Linked DNA regions of Saccharomyces cerevisiae S288C. The gene in region 1 interacts genetically with each later gene. Each region holds a gene or a part of one and is shown on either strand. Other genes may lie near its edges.

Region 1 (3,524 bases):
GATCAAGACATTTTTAGTAGATTTAACTTCCTCTAATTTCGCGGATTCGGCAGATTATGAAATCCTGTATGAGATTAGAGCCCTATATACTCCATTTCTACTGATGGAATTGCATAAAAAGTTAGTGGAAGCCGCAAAGTTGTTAAAGATCCCAAAATTTATTTCGGAAGCCCTGGCATTTACCTCATTGGTCGCTAATGAGAACGACAAGATTTATTTATTATTCCAATCTAGTGGAAAGTTAAAAGAGTATCTGGATCTCGTTGCTCGCACAGCAACCCTTTCGAACTGATCAATTAATGTATTGCAGAATAAGTTTATATTTTAAGTAAACAGCAATAATTTTATGCATTTCTTCTATCTATTTCAGAAGTAATTGACGTGATTTTTTATAGTTTTGCTTTGAATCTTTGTGTTTCCACACCGGAGAAAAAAAAGTTCATGAAGTGAAAAAGCGGTTAAACATGAATTTTCTACTATCTAAAGATAAAATTACAGATGCAGTTACTTACATACATTGAACAGTTTCTGACGGCAAATTTAGCTTCTATTAATTTTTTTCTGTAGCTGATGAAAAATTCTGTCCCTATGATGCGCCAATGGGTCATCAACATCCGTCGGAAAAAATTCATTTCTAGGGTATTCAATATCATCTCCTTCATCAGAATCATCTTCGTTATCACTTATCTCTATTTCACCTTCTTGGCCATCCAAGTCAATGAAATTCGAGGAATTTATGGATTTCAAGACATCACTTTTTCCTCCAAGCCTGTTAAAAAGATCCCCGTACTCTTCCTCCACATCGTGGTACCCATTAGATCCCTGAATTTTATCGTCATTCCAAGAGGAAAACCTGCTCTTATTAACCCCTATAACAATCTCTTCACCCAATGCAGCTATATCCTCTCCTTCGCTACCAAATAGAATAGATCTATCATCATCTTCATCCTCCGGATAATCATTTTGGTAATAGTTTTCGTCATTAGAATCCTCATCGTCTGAACGGGCTTCATTGGGATCACTTTCTTCATCAAGAGCCAAATCTATATGCTCAATAATTTTCACAAACCCTATATTTTTCTCGTTGTTATATCTAGCAACCTCATCGTCATGAATTTTCTCCAAATGGTAGATGTCAAAAACGTAATCTAAACTGGGTAGTGATGCAATTTTTGCAGAATCCCCAGTAAAATATTTCCTACTTGGTTTTTTTCTTTCTGTCTTTTCTACACCTTTATTCAACTTTAAATAGTCATTCACCATTTGATTGATCTCTGGCGGTAACCCATCGTCATCTACAGTACTTCCTTCTGCTGCAAGCCGCTGTTGTGATTTTTCATCATCTGAGTCTCTACGACTTTTTTTTCTTTGTTCCAATACAAAATGTCGATGATCTTCATGAGCCAGTTTTAAGAGTGGCGTAGAAGACTCTTGCTCGGATTGATAGCTTTCAGAGCTCACAGTCTTTGATAATTTAAATATGAACTTCTGCTTCTTCACTCTTTTCCCCTCATCAATTACTGAATTGTCCCAGATGAACTTAGTTAGTCAAACGCATTTTTGTTATATCGGTAGAATAACAACACATACATAATGCCTGCACAGAATCCTCATCCCTTCTTCTCTTTACTCTGATAAACTCAGGTGCCGTTGTGGTACTAATAGTGCTCATTCCCGAAATCTTGTATGCCTACCTCAACAAAAGCTATACCTCAGAGAGCAGTTTTATATACCATCTCTTGTTCTCATCAATAACTTGTCTTGAGCATTACACAATTTAAATCCCCTGTGCCGACACAAACAAGAGATAACCCGGAATCAATATTATCTGATTGGGCTCCTAAATATCGCATCTGTGGACTTGAATCCACATGCTGCGAACTTATTTGAAGCAACAATTACTTCTGTTGGAAGCGTGGTAGTGCCAAATCAGACTTGCTCTTTAGTTTTCTTATGTTAACGCTTTACTGCCTTTTTCTTCTATATTTTTGAACGTCAATATGTAGCGGGCGTCAGCAGAGGAACAGAATTTGTGACACTTCTTGAATGAACATTTCTCATATCTGAAACCGCATCATCAAAAGGACACCTCAATAGAGATTCAGTGACATATTTAACATAGTTTTATGGGTAAGAAATATTATTAATTATGGTACGCAAGAATAAAATAAATAGAGCGAGTGGAACTACAAAACACCTCAAGGATTTTCCATCAGTCATCCTAAGTCTGCCCAGCTACAACCCTTCCATCCTTTCTAAAAATGCAACTGCACTAATAACCGGTGGTTCTAGTGGACTCGGATTTGAACTTGCAAAGGAACTTTCCAGAAGAATTAATAAAGTTATTGTGGCAGATATTCAATCATTTCCTACTTTTGCTCAGGTAGAATATAATAACATTTTCTACTATCAATGCGACATAACAAGTCTAGATGAAATTAAAAATTTGAAAAAAGCTATTGAAAGAGATCATGGCAACATTAATATAATTATAAATAATGCTGGTGTTGCTCACATCAAAAAGTTAGAACATATGACAAACAAGGAGGTAGAACAATTGATCGACATAAACTTAATAGGTGCTTACCGAATCATCAGTACATTTGCAGAAGATATGATAGACAATAGGGAAGGCTTTATAATTAACATTGCTTCAGTCCTCGGAGAACTGACTCCTGCAAGGCTGACATCGTATGGTGCATCAAAAGGAGCAATGATTGGTTTTCACAAGTGTATGAGCAGGCATTTCAGAAGTTTGTCCACGGAATGTAATAAAACTGGAATAAAAACACTACTGGTGTGCCCGGGAAAAATCAAAACTAATATGTTTATTGATGTCCCTACACCATCTAAGTTATTGGCTCCTGACATCATACCTTCCCAACTGGCACTAGCGATAATCTCTGCGATGGAGCATAATCATCTGCAAACACTAAATGCCCCATATTATGTGAACCTAGTTCCCTTTTTCAAAACTTTGAGTTGGCCATATAGGCATCTCTTAAAACATTTCAGTGGAATGGACCATGTAACGTCAACCAGCCCGCGAGCAATAAATCCGAAGAGAAGTGCATAATATTTTAGTCTATTTAATACATTTGACGTTATTTGATCTTCACGTTGTTTATATATATATATATCAAGTATGCTATAACGCTAAAAAAAAATGCTCATAATACTATGCAAAATCTTGATGTCTTTTGACTTCTTTCCAAATTTCTAAATTTTGACGGGCATAATTTCTCATATATCTGGAATAATGCTTTAAAATTTCTGATAAATCTACTTCCCTTTCTTTAGAAAATTTAGGTAGCTGGTCATTTTTGATGACTTTTGAAATGACCTCCAAATCATTCTCAGTAACTTCCAATGATTCAGACAGTTGTTCAATTTCTTTCTTCAAATTGATACTTGCGGTATGCGGATCTGTTTCTTGATACTTCACAGAATCTTTTACCATTGATGCCAATTTGTTAAATCCATTGAATAGTTTGCCACCATATGATTTCCCACCGCTACCTGTA
Region 2 (5,458 bases), on another chromosome or scaffold:
ATTCAAGCAAGTGACGGGTCGTGAACCACATCATTTTTTGCGTAAGGGATTGTTTTTCAGTGAGCGTGACTTCACTAAAATATTAGACCTTTACGAACAAGGCAAACCATTTTTCCTATACACTGGTAGAGGTCCTTCGAGCGATTCTATGCACTTGGGTCATATGATCCCTTTTGTCTTCACCAAATGGTTACAGGAAGTGTTTGACGTACCATTAGTCATAGAGTTGACAGATGACGAAAAATTTTTATTCAAACACAAGTTGACCATCAATGACGTTAAGAATTTTGCCCGTGAAAATGCCAAGGATATCATTGCTGTTGGCTTTGATCCAAAGAACACCTTTATCTTTTCTGATTTGCAATACATGGGTGGTGCATTTTACGAAACTGTAGTAAGAGTTTCCAGACAAATTACAGGATCCACTGCAAAGGCTGTTTTCGGGTTTAATGACTCCGACTGTATTGGTAAGTTCCATTTTGCCTCCATTCAAATTGCTACCGCATTCCCAAGCTCATTTCCTAATGTGTTAGGCTTGCCTGATAAGACACCATGTTTGATTCCATGTGCAATTGACCAAGATCCATATTTCAGAGTTTGTAGGGATGTCGCGGATAAATTGAAGTACTCCAAACCTGCTTTGCTTCATTCCAGATTCTTTCCAGCTTTGCAAGGTTCCACGACCAAAATGTCAGCCTCTGATGATACCACTGCCATTTTCATGACCGATACACCAAAGCAAATTCAAAAGAAAATTAACAAGTACGCATTCAGCGGTGGTCAAGTGTCCGCCGACCTACATAGAGAATTAGGTGGTAATCCCGATGTCGATGTTGCATACCAATACTTGTCATTTTTCAAGGATGACGATGTTTTCTTGAAGGAATGCTATGACAAATATAAGTCCGGTGAATTACTATCAGGTGAAATGAAGAAACTGTGTATCGAGACTCTGCAAGAATTCGTTAAGGCGTTCCAGGAACGCAGAGCTCAGGTGGACGAAGAGACCTTGGACAAATTCATGGTCCCACATAAGTTGGTTTGGGGCGAAAAGGAAAGACTTGTCGCACCTAAGCCAAAAACTAAGCAAGAAAAGAAGTAAGTAGTCACGCTTATTCTGACGCTATTATATACAATGATATAGAATCCGAAATTGTAGTTTAACACTAAAAAAATAATGCAATAGAACAATAGTGTTGCGATGTCTCCTGACCTCACTATTTCTATAGATTGGTATGAAAAATTTTTTTTTCAAATATATGGGAAAAATTTTTCACGGCATATAAAAGACTACCATCTTTCTGCATCAGTGTGCCAGACCCATTCTCACACCAAGAAGCGAGGAAGCTAACAGGCCAGTACTTGCAGGTTAGGTTTTCGTGCTCAGATGAGCAGATCATGGACTGCATTGTGCTGTTGTTGCACAGTAAATTTTGTATACCATACTTTATGATGATATTCTTTACGAACTTTTAGACGTTAGACTTCTGAAGGAGATTAGACCCTCCTATGGAAGAGAAACTCGTTAAACTTATCTGAGTAGGTATGTGTATATGCGTCTCTTGTATTATACAAATGTTCTTATTTCTTGTCCTGCATTTTTCCGAGTATTGGTAAATTCATGTAAATTTTTCATCCCATAGATCGTAATTTTGAAGTAGTGGCAAAAGATTTTAACAGAGCGTAAGATATAGTGAGAGAAACTACTCGCTGAAAAGTTGAAAGTGACCCAAAAAACGGCACGAAGACCAATTATACGCACTTTCAACACAGTTCGTCGAATCTTCACAATGGGGTTCAAGAAGCTCGTATCATTCCAACCGGATTATGTCCCACAATACCATATAACTAAATATATCTCGGAACGAACTAAACTGCAACTGGTACATATAAACCACAAAACCTCCCCATTGGTTCACGGTTACTTTGCTGTTCCTACAGAATGTCTTAATGATTCAGGTGCTCCGCATACCTTGGAGCATTTGATCTTCATGGGTTCTAAATCTTACCCATACAAAGGTTTATTAGACACAGCTGGTAATCTGTCTTTGTCTAACACCAATGCTTGGACTGATACCGACCAAACTGTTTATACATTAAGCAGTGCTGGCTGGAAGGGATTCTCAAAGTTGCTACCTGCTTATCTAGATCACATCCTACATCCAACTTTAACAGACGAGGCTTGTTTAACTGAGGTTTATCACATCGACCCGGAAAATTTGGGTGATAAAGGTGTGGTATTTAGTGAAATGGAAGCCATTGAAACTCAGGGCTGGTACATTTCAGGGTTAGAAAAGCAGCGATTAATGTTTCCTGAAGGAAGTGGCTATCGGTCAGAAACTGGTGGGCTAACGAAAAATTTAAGAACCTTAACCAACGACGAAATCAGACAATTTCACAAATCTCTGTATTCTTCTGATAATCTTTGTGTCATTGTTTGTGGTAACGTACCAACAGATGAACTGTTAACCGTCATGGAAGAATGGGATAACAAATTGCCGGAGATTCCATCGAATATACCAAAGAAAAGACCATTTTTGGACAACAAGCTTTCGCACATACCGCAATCTAGAGATAAAGTTACGGAATCTACTGTAGAATTTCCTGAACTTGATGAAAGTCAGGGTGAATTACTCTTTTCTTGGATTGGTGTTCCCTACTCAGATTTTCGTAATGACCTAGCGGTTGATGTGCTATTAGATTACTTTACTGACTCTGCATTGGCAGTGTTTACAAGAGAACTGGTTGAAATTGACGATCCCATGGCAAATTCCACTGATTGTTGCACTGATTATTTCATGAGAACCATAATTGATCTTCGTATCCAAGGTGTCCCAACAGAAAAAATAGCAGCAACAAAGACCAAGGTACTGGAGATTTTGAAAACCCATACCATTGATTTATCAAGAGTTAGACAGGTAGTTGAAAATACTAAATGGGAATATTTGCTGAACTATGAAAAAAATGGCGAGAGTCGTTTTTCTAGTGCTGTGATTACCGACTATATTTATGGTAATGAAGATGGTTCTTCATTAGTGTCTTCTCTCAAGGATTTAAGTGATTTTGATGCTTTATTACAATGGTCCCAAAAGGACTGGCAATCTTTGCTGAACAGAATATTCGTAGACAACAAACCTATCATAGTTACCGCTAAACCAAGCGCTTTGATGTATGAACAACTAGAGAAAGAAAAATCGGATTTGATCAAACAAAGAGAAGCTGAATTTGATGATGAAAAGAAACTGGTTTTATTGAAAAGATTGAACAATGCAAAAAATATTAATGATAGGCCAATTCCGAAATCTCTACTACAGAAATTTGAGATTGATAATCCTTCAAAGAGTGTTGAATTTGTCAACACGAAAAGCATTGCAACTGTCGATTCGTATAAATACAATAATGTTAGTGATCCGCTGACCAAAAAAATTTTAGAAACGAGGCCAGACAATTTTCCTCTTTTCATTCACTTAAATCATTTCCCGTCTCAATTTATAGAGCTGCATTTTTTGGTCAACTCCGCATCTATTAAGGATACCTCGCTTTTACCATATTTTAATATGTTTGACGAGCTATTTTCCATGCCAATGAAAATCCTTGATGAGGAGAGTAATGTAGAAACTATGCTCTCGTTTGAGGAAGTTGTCGCCAAGTTAAAATCAGAAACTATTGACGCACAGATCAACCAAGGTTTGAAGGGTTCTTGTCCTGACCTTATTAATTTTAAAATTCAATGTAGAGCTGGGGGTTACTCTAACTCTGTTCAATGGATCAAGCACTGCCTATTTGACATGGTTTTTGATGAAAATCGTGTTCGTATTCTGCTGGAGAATTATTTGAATTCTATTGTAGAATGGAAAAGAAATGGTAATGTTATGTTAAGTTCTTTAACTAACAGAAATCTCTATTCGGCAAGATCGCTGAAAAAATCCACCGATCCATTATTTGTTGAAGCAAAATTACAAGAGATTTTTGCAGAAATTGAGAATGGCAACTTTGAGAAAGAAATTTTGCCAAGAATAGAAACAATGAGAAAGCAACTGAGAGCAAATTTCAACAAGTTTCATATTTTGGTTCTTGGTGACATCTCAAAGATCGATGACGTTTATGAACCATGGAATCCCTTAATTAAGTGCTTGAACATTGCACATCCAGTTGAGAAGTTAAAAATTCCACCAGTTCCAAGAGCCCTAGATACCATTTCATCGATTTGCAGAACACCTGGTGAAAAGGCCTTTATAATAACTACTCCCGCCTCAGAATCTGCTTATATGAATCTAATAACGTCTATCCCATTTAACTTGGACTACCATGATCCCGAATACGCTATTGTCTCATTGGCTTCCGAATATCTAGAATGTGTTGAAGGTCCATTTTGGAAGGGAATCCGTGGTGCCGGATTGGCCTATGGTGCCAGCATGTTAAAATTATGTGAGATAAATTCTTGGGGATTCAATATTTACCGCGGCGCTGATATTATTAAATGTTATGAAGTTGGAAAACAGATTGTTCAAGATTATGCATCAGGTGCCTTGGAATTTGATGAGCAGTTAATCCAAGGTGCCATCAGTAGTATTATTAACAGGCTGGCTACTATCGAATGCGGATACTTTGAAACAGCCCTGTCCAAATATGTTGATGAATTCTGTTTGCAAAGGGGGAACAACTTCAATGAATTGTATTTGGAAAGGTTGCAGAATGTTACCAAAACAGATCTGAAAAATGCCATGCAGAAATATTTTGTCAACATGTTTGATTCCAATAAAAGCGTTGCCTTTGTGAGCTGTCATCCAGCTAAATTGGAATCAGTTCAAGAATTCTTTGAAACTCAAGGTTTCACTGTCGAAATAGAAGAGCTAGAAGATGACGATGACGAAATTGATAGTGAAGAAGACGAAAATGCGTGAGTACATGACCTCCATTTCAGCTTCACTTTCAACACAGAAACAGTGCGTATTATCTGCATTCAATAAATAGCAAAAGGAGCATTGTCTCATTCTTTTCGAATTCTGGGATTCTGCCTTACGGCGCTCTTTCATTTGATTGATCGAGAATTATTATTATATTTATATGAGTACTTGAAATTCCTCATATATTTATTTTTAGAGTATTTAAGTAGCTTGATGAAAACATTAGATAAAATTACTAATTACGACCTCTTCGATTTTGCAGATGAGTTTTTGAAATTTGTTCCTGTGTTTAGACCTAATCCCACGGTAACTTGTCTTTTTGGCAATCCGTTAACTAATTTACTGGTTAACGGTACTGGAGCAGCGTGTTTTTTTGAATTTTGTTCCTTGGCATTGATAAAGGTTTCAAAAATTCTGCTTGATCTGTTGCTCTTAGCGCTATTAATCGATTCAGAAAACGAATTGTGCTTTGAAATTGATGGAGATTGGCTATGCGTCCTGGGTTTTGGCGAAGGAGACTTGGAAGTTGGAAGATCTTTAGGTATGGCTCT
Region 3 (3,681 bases), on another chromosome or scaffold:
GTGTTGTAGAATGTTTGCGGCTGCTTTTCCTGTTTCTTTAGAGAACTATTACTTGCGGAGCTCGTCCACTGCGACTCCTGAACCAACTGTCGCAGGGGAGGCGTAGAGTTTTGTGATCGGATATTCTGGCGCTGCTGCTGCTGCTGCTGCTGCTTATGATGTTCTTGTTTCAGAACTAGCAATGAAATGGGCATATGATTACCGTCATGTTGCACGTTCGGTTGCACACTTGATTTCGATAGTATTTCTGAGAAACTGTTGGTGCTTTGTTGTTTTAAAGGGTGATGAGGTCGCCTGGTTGGAGACCAGGATATAGAGCTTAGGGACTGCCCCGGGGGGTGTTGTTGTTGCTGCTTCTGATCCTGATATATTACCAGGCCCCTTCTCTTGTGACTCATTTGCTTACACTGTGGCGACTTTTTCCACTTCTTTGTTTATTTGTATTACCGCTTCCTTTTCCTTTTTTCATCTGATTATATGCTTATATATTGTAGACGCAAGTAAAAAAGAACGAAAATAGAAGTCATAATGCTTGTCATACACATTTATATGTTTAATTAATATTATCTACGTAGTCTATCTCTTGAAAAAGAAGTCTGGTTCCGGTGCGACTGGTTTTGATGGCTTAGTAAATAGTTGATATTGTTACCTGACGGCGGAACGCCTGGGGGAGGCATTGACGTGGACGTTGGGAATCGTGTTGAAGTCTGTTCTCGACCGGGCGATCCTGCGTTAGCCTGTTCTATACTCTCTTCCTCCTTTTCTTCAAAGACTGGAAGATCAGTGCCGTTTTGAATGTTGACCCAGGGAAAGAAGCCTGTGCCGAACCAGAAATGTTGCACCACGGGGAACTTCTTCAGAACCTCTACAGAATACATTTTTAGAAGCCCCTTACACACTTTGGACCAGCGTGGAACGGTGACGGCAATATCGTATAGGATGGGGGAATGCTCTTCAAAGGGCCCCATTTTCACCTCATTAATAAAGTTTATGCCTTGGCAGTAGAAGTTGGTGTCCTTATACTCGCGCACCAGAGACTTATCCAGTATTTCTCTTGGTTGCAAGGGTGCTTGCGCATCAAGCAGCTGCCATTGAGACGAGCCCAAGATGTACACCAAGTGGAAATGGTCATCAAGCCCCCACACGCCATGTGACCCAGCGGGCTCCAGCGTATACGTCAGGATCAGCCTCCTCATGATCGTGTAGTACTTGTTGAACAGCAGAAAAACGTCTGCCCCCCTCATGTGCGGAAACATCCCCAGCATGTCCAGTGCTGCGACCGTGGCCATGAACGAAAGTTCGTGGCCCGTGCCGTAGTCCAATCTTGTCGACGAACCAAAGCTGTTGCCCAGGTAATACTGCAATTCAGGCACCACCTCATGGTATTCCGAGGGAAGCATTTCCTGCAGCCACTGAGGCAAACGTTCATCCAGCTTGTGATGCCACTCGCGGCATGCTAGGTTACCATACCTTCTAGGACCTGGAAGAGGCGGTGTCTCGTCGATCAGGTGTGCCAGCTTGTCCAACACTCCCATCAGCCCGTTAACCATGGCGATCGACGACGCAGTAGCGTGCGGGTCGGGGTCAGAACAGTGCGATATCAACGTAGTGTACTTGTGAAGATGATACTTGATTCTGTGAATGGCTAGTGACGATTGGAAGTCCAGCGTTGTCTGCGTATCGAAGATACGCTTCACCGGCGTAGAGAAGGTGGCGTGCGGCCAATCTACACGATCCAGAGACATTTCTTTGCTCGTTTAATGCTTGTTCATATGTGCGTTCTTTTGCACTTTGCACTTTCTTCCTATTTTATCTTTTTAAGAAAGCTTTAAAGGTCCGGAAAAAAGGCTTGATCAAACACAAGAGACTATGGAAAGGGTGAGTACCAAAAGAACCAACAAGAGAAACAACCAAGTACGCAATGCAGAAGAGCATATTGCTGACTAAACCTGACGGAACACAATCGAATCTACACAGCATCAAAACGGAAACGCCCACCACGGTGGAGTTCGACTCGGAGCAGATGGAAAGGGGCCACAGGGAAAGAGGTCGTAGCAAGAAGAAAAGAGGCGAACGAGACTCAAACGTGAGCAGTCTGTCGCGGTCGAGAAGCAGGGCCAGTAGCCGCAGCAGAGTAAGGGAGGAAGAGTTCCTCAAGTGGACCGTGTTGAGGCAGGACCCCTCGATGCGGTTGAGGGTCGTGGATGTGGATTCTGAAGAGGAAGGTGAGGGCAACGACGAAGATGACGACGACGGCGACGGCGACGATATGGACGAGGAAGAGTCCGATGAAGAGCAAGTGAGCGATATAGAGAACGATTTAGAGATTGACGAGGAGTTCCACTACGATCTGGGCATGAAAGTGTTACCCAACTTTTGTACCAGCATAAACGAAGTGCTAGACTCCAGCAAGCCCTGGATAGCCAAGTACGAGATCAGCATCCGTGGCCACGAAAACGAAGACGTGTCTCTGGAGCAACTCGACGGAGGCTACGTCAGAGCCATGCAACTACTCACCAAGGGTGCCGGCGCAGAGGCCGGGAACCAAAGGTCCTTCATCCTCTACACGGACCTGAGCAGCGAGTCCACCTACGCCCTGACCTATCTCATGGGCGCAGCTGTCAACCAGGGAGACACCGTCTACATTGTCCACTGGGAGCCCTCGAAGCCCACGGACGACTCCCAGATGTTCGCCAACGTTGCCAGAATCAGAAAGCACGTCATGCACCTGTTTGACTGCGTCGCGGGCGTGCTCGACGACCTCGACGTCGTCGTCCTCTCCTTGACCCATCCGTACCCAAAACACCTCCTCAACGAGATGATCCACGGCCTCAAGCCAGTCGCCCTGTGCTGCTCCCTCTCGGTCATCCTGTCCACTCTGCAGAACTTCGTCTGCTCTGTGCCCATCCTCGCGGTTAGAAAGAAGCTGAAACGTGCCAAGCGCAAGGGCATCAGCGAGTGACCAATAATCACTGCACTAATTCCTTTTTAGCAACACATACTTATATACAGCAACAGACCTTATGTCTTTTCTCTGCTCCGATACGTTATCCACCCAACTTTATTTCAGTTTTGGCAGGGGAAATTTCACAACCCCGCACGCTAAAAATCGTATTTAAACTTAAAAGAGAACAGCCACAAATAGGGAACTTTGGTCTAAAGCAAGGACTCTCCCTCCCTTATCTTGACCGTGCTATTGCCATCACTGCTACAAGACTAAATACGTACTAATATATGTTTTCGGTAACGAGAAGAAGAGCTGCCGGTGCAGCTGCTGCCATGGCCACAGCCACGGGGACGCTGTACTGGATGACTAGCCAAGGTGATAGGCCGTTAGTGCACAATGACCCGAGCTACATGGTGCAATTCCCCACCGCCGCTCCACCGCAGGTCTCTAGACGAGACCTGCTGGACCGTCTGGCCAAGACGCATCAATTCGACGTGTTGATCATCGGTGGCGGGGCCACGGGGACAGGATGTGCCCTAGATGCTGCGACCAGGGGACTCAATGTGGCCCTTGTTGAAAAGGGGGATTTTGCCTCGGGAACGTCGTCCAAATCTACCAAGATGATTCACGGTGGGGTGCGGTACTTAGAGAAGGCCTTCTGGGAGTTCTCCAAGGCACAACTGGATCTGGTCATCGAGGCACTCAACGAGCGTAAACATCTTATCAACACTGCC
Region 4 (4,347 bases), on another chromosome or scaffold:
GCAACACAGGCATTGATATTAGAGATGATTTGACCTTTACCTTGAGATGCGTCTGTTCCCTCTTTTAGAACCACAATTGTAGGTGTTTGGCTTCCAAAGTTCATTTTTCCGAGTTGTATGTCTCGTGATTCAGGTACTACTTAATATTTGCGGCTAATTCTCTGTATTTGAAATCATTTCGACAATTTGGCATCTGCTAACGCTTAATAACAATTATTCATTTTTTTTTTTTTCAATAGCAAGGATGAAAAAGTCGCCACTTAAATATTAATCATTATTCACGAAAGTTTTCTTTTTCCGGGTAAGGATAATGCAGGTATGGTGATTGCTTCCAAGACATCTGTAGTAATATGACAGGGCAACATCTACAGCACCGATTTCGCTGATAAACCATCCAAGGTATTGACGATACTTTATTTACATTCCAGAACGAATATTTATTTATATATATCTGAGCGAGCAGCTATTCACATATGCACTCGATATTTATTTTTCTTCAAATGGGTTGACTTGATTGCAATGCAATGCCTATCATACGGCCCAAATATTTACGTCCCCATTTTCACGACCCTCAACCATGTAATTTTCTTTATACTTAACGGTACTAACGCTAGTCTCGTTACCTTGTTCGACGCAAGACCAGCTTTCATCCTTTTCGCTATCGTATATCTGGACACTTGGTTCGTCTGCGACAACGACTGCAGCGTTCTCTTGGAAGAGATCTAACGAAAGAACTGGCGCACTGTACGCATGAAACTTATTCAACAACCCAGTTCTTAAGTCCCAGATTCTAACTGTTCTGTCGTATGAACCTGTGACCAGGCACGCGGAATCAAATTTTAATGACGTTATGGCATCTGTATGCCCTTTCAAAGTACGAATCACCTTTCCGGATCTTAAATCCCATAGCCTTACAACACCATCTTTTGTACCCGTTGCTAGCGCTGCATCAAAACTTTGTAGTGCACCTATACTAGGCCTCTCATTTCTTTGAGTAAGAAGTGTGCTCTTTGATAAATCGACATTAGTGGATGTTGTTAAGACATTTGCAAAGCTCAGATCAATGGTTTGCAAGCACTTCCCGGAACGTAAGTCCCATTGCCTAATTGTTCTATCCTGTGAACCACTCACCAAGAAACTAGGATCTAATGATAATGCAGTAACCTCATCTGTATGCGCCTCAAATGTATGAACACATGGAGAATCAATATGATTTGTAGGAGAGGTAAGATTTTGCGTTTCCTGGTAAAGTTGTTGAGCTAAATTCAAATTCCATAATTTTAAAGCCGCATCTCTACCACCAGTAACAAGAGTTCCGTAGTCACGATTGATTTGCATACAATTAATTGTAGCAAGATGTCCTGCTAGTTCTCCAATTTTGTTTTGTTTGGATAAATCCCAAATTTTTACCGTGTGATCAAGATATCCGGCTGTACATAAGGTACCAAAGGGCGCATCAAAATCTAGGCAAGTGAGGAAATCATCGTGAGTGGACATTATAGAGCCAATTTTTGTTCCTGGCTCGTAAAGCTGCTGGAATGTTGGGAAGCTTTTTCTGTGTCTTTTTTTGGATTTGCTATAAAAGGCACCTAATCTATTCAATGAGTTATCGTCTCGAAGTTGTTGCCTTCTCCTTGGAGGTAGATTAGAAGCCTCTGATGATATGCTCTCTGTGGTGACACCCTCATTTCTTATAGCATCATTTTTAAGGGCCTTTCGCTCACTCATACCATCATCTTCTGCATTTTCGTCGCTATTAGCTTCGATCACCTCCAATCCGTACTCTTCTAAAAAGTCCAACCTATCATCAATCTGTTTGAGGTTGTCTTCCAATAGTAATTGATTTTGCTCTATGTTCGCAATTTTACCCAACAGTTTCTCTTTCTTTTGTCTCAGATTCTCAACTTCAACTTCAATGTCTCTTATTTCGGATAACGTAGAATTTTTCTGAATATTTAAAAACTCTAAACTATTTACAAGAGTTTGAGAAAAACTTTTTAATGCACTAGGAGAATAAGAGGAGCTTATTTTTTTAGTTTCTACCCCAGGCGGTATGAGAAATGAATCTTGGAAGTTAGGAAGCTCTGTGTGAATTTCATCTCGCTCATTTGTTTTAGACATAACATCTTTCGCACCAACCGTACCGCTTGTACCATTTGTATCATAGTTTAATCTTTCAGTGTTTTCAATGGCAAGCTCCGCTATTGGTAGGTAGCTTTTAAAGCCCTGAAACAGCGATGTTTCTTTTTTGGATGCGTTCTTCCTGAGATTTTCATTTTCGCCTCCTTCGGTTAGAAGCTTGCCATCTGCATCACTTTTGAGACCTTCCTTAGTTGGGATCTCGTTCAACAAATCATCACTTATGTACGTGAGCATTCTGAAGCATGTTTTGTTGTCTGTGAACTTGTTCCTGAATACATCGCCCCTTCTTGTCTTGGAGTAAATATCCTCAAAAGTGTTAGATGCATTTTTTACAAAGCGACCGTGTTCAGTCCTCTTGTAAAAGTATGAAGTTGAGCTCGCATTGTTGACGGTATTTGATAATAAATTCTTATAAGGCCCATTATTGGTCAGTACATCTTGAGTGTTGCTGTTCGATTTTTGGTAGTTTAAAAAAGCGGAAGCCGTTGTGGACAATGTTTTTCCTATATGAGTTATTTGGTCGTTCACTGACATTATTTGTCATTATTTGCTACTAATTGGAGCTCTACGAAGGGTTTATATGGTTGTACTTTCTGTAGAAAGTTAATTTCTTCTCTTGTTTACGCCGTCTTTCCTGAGAAAATCGATGTGAAAGTAGTTCCGCCTGTCAAAGTTGAGCGAATTCCTATCGGACGGAAAAGTCCGATGAGCGACCACATTAAACAGGGATACCAGGTCTGAGGAGGACTGTACAATGTAGGGGGAAAATACTCAAGTATGCACTCACTGTCAACTATTGGTTCCAAGTCGCTGGAAAGAAACTCATAGCTTCAAAATTTAATAAAAGATAATAGGATTACGTAGATGAGCCAAAAAAAATAAAAAAAAGGAAGTTCTGCAGCATGTTCAAGGACGGCTTGGTCGATTGTTTTTCTGTGTCGTAGAAATAGTCTGAATATATATCATCGGTATCTTATACCCTCATTCAAGGTGGAAATTGTACCAGAACAGTCATCAAGGGCCAAAAAAAATCTCCGCGACGGGGAATTGAACCCCGATCTGGCACGCGACAAGCGCCCATTCTGACCATTAAACTATCACGGATTTTTATGTTGTTTTGTGAGCGTGTTTAATGTATCCTTCACTATTTGAAAATATTTTCTCGACCTCAATACCAAATCAAATGACCTTTTACGGTCGTCAAAATGTGTTTCACCCTATAAAGTGAGCTTAAACACTTTAAACATCTCCTCTATCGGTTGTGCTGTACGGAAATAAAGATCAACTTATCAGGATAAATTTTAATAATTAGTATTTAAAACGTGTAATTCGGTTTCTGTATAACGCCAGTCACATTTCTCAAAAGATATATTACTATATGATGTAAACATTAGATTTATTAGAACTGGTAGCAATTAATATTTTAATCAATACTGATGTGAAATCTGAGATATGGGTGGATTTTGAAATAATTGTTGGAATCCTGTTGTTGATAGAGGGTATAATATTAGGTATACAGAATATACTAGAAGTTCTCCTCGAGGATATAGGAATCCTCAAAATGGAATCTATATTTCTACATACTAATATTACGATTATTCCTCATTCCGTTTTATATGTTTCATTATCCTATTACATTATCAATCCTTGCACTTCAGCTTCCTCTAACTTCGATGACAGCTTCTCATAACTTATGTCATCATCTTAACACCGTATATGATAATTGTTGGAATAAAAATCAACTATCATCTACTAACTAGTATTTACGTTACTAGTATATTATCATATACGGTGTTAGAAGATGACGCAAATGATGAGAAATAGTCATCTAAATTAGTGGAAGCTGAAACGCAAGGATTGATAATGTAATAGGATCAATGAATATTAACATATAAAATGATGATAATAATATTTATAGAATTGTGTAGAATTGCAGATTTCCTTTTATGGATTCCTAAATCCTGGAGGAGAACTTCTAGTATATCTACATACCTAATATTATTGCCTTATTAAAAATGGAATCCCAACAATTATCTCAAAATTCACCCAATCTTCAATAATATATTGATATGTTGATAATTAGAGGTTAAAAATTAGTATTAATGAAGAAGTGAGTACTGATCTTCTTATACTAAATAAGAGAGGTATATAAAACACACGCCGATTGGTCATATTAATTATGACCAATATAATAGTGATTCCGGT

What was found.
Region 2: mutations in IWR1 (region 1) and SDD3 together harm fitness more than expected from each alone (negative genetic interaction), as found in Saccharomyces cerevisiae (2 studies listed by BioGRID).
Region 3: mutations in IWR1 (region 1) and RRD1 together harm fitness more than expected from each alone (negative genetic interaction), as found in Saccharomyces cerevisiae (2 studies listed by BioGRID).
Region 4: mutations in IWR1 (region 1) and MDV1 together harm fitness more than expected from each alone (negative genetic interaction), as found in Saccharomyces cerevisiae (2 studies listed by BioGRID).

What each region holds. Positions count from the first base shown.
Region 1 is NC_001136.10:253,455-256,978, forward strand, and holds IWR1 (Iwr1p), read right to left. Parts: upstream 1,673-3,524; coding exon 1,591-1,672; intron 1,521-1,590; coding exon 541-1,520; downstream 1-540. Other genes in the region: NUP84 (Nup84p), read left to right, coding at 1-292; YDL114W (short-chain dehydrogenase/reductase), read left to right, coding at 2,150-3,076; ATG20 (Atg20p), read right to left, coding at 3,179-3,524. UniProt on the Saccharomyces cerevisiae protein: Directs RNA polymerase II nuclear import. Binds RNA polymerase II in the active center cleft between the two largest subunits in the cytoplasm.
Region 2 is NC_001147.6:132,171-137,628, reverse strand, and holds SDD3 (Sdd3p), read left to right. Parts: upstream 1-1,790; coding exon 1,791-4,904; downstream 4,905-5,458. Other genes in the region: tryptophan--tRNA ligase WRS1, read left to right, coding at 1-1,102; YOL097W-A (uncharacterized protein), read right to left, coding at 1,224-1,409; serine/threonine protein kinase PKH2, read right to left, coding at 5,147-5,458.
Region 3 is NC_001141.2:53,262-56,942, reverse strand, and holds RRD1 (peptidylprolyl isomerase RRD1), read right to left. Parts: upstream 1,746-3,681; coding exon 564-1,745; downstream 1-563. Other genes in the region: VPR1 (Vpr1p), read right to left, coding at 1-398; IMP21 (Imp21p), read left to right, coding at 1,922-2,962; GUT2 (glycerol-3-phosphate dehydrogenase), read left to right, coding at 3,235-3,681. UniProt on the Saccharomyces cerevisiae protein: PPIases accelerate the folding of proteins. It catalyzes the cis-trans isomerization of proline imidic peptide bonds in oligopeptides.
Region 4 is NC_001142.9:203,634-207,980, reverse strand, and holds MDV1 (Mdv1p), read right to left. Parts: upstream 2,677-4,347; coding exon 532-2,676; downstream 1-531. Other genes in the region: chaperonin-containing T-complex subunit CCT7, read right to left, coding at 1-104. UniProt on the Saccharomyces cerevisiae protein: Involved in mitochondrial fission. Has a partially redundant function to CAF4 in acting as an adapter protein, binding to FIS1 on the mitochondrial outer membrane and recruiting the dynamin-like GTPase DNM1 to form mitochondrial fission complexes.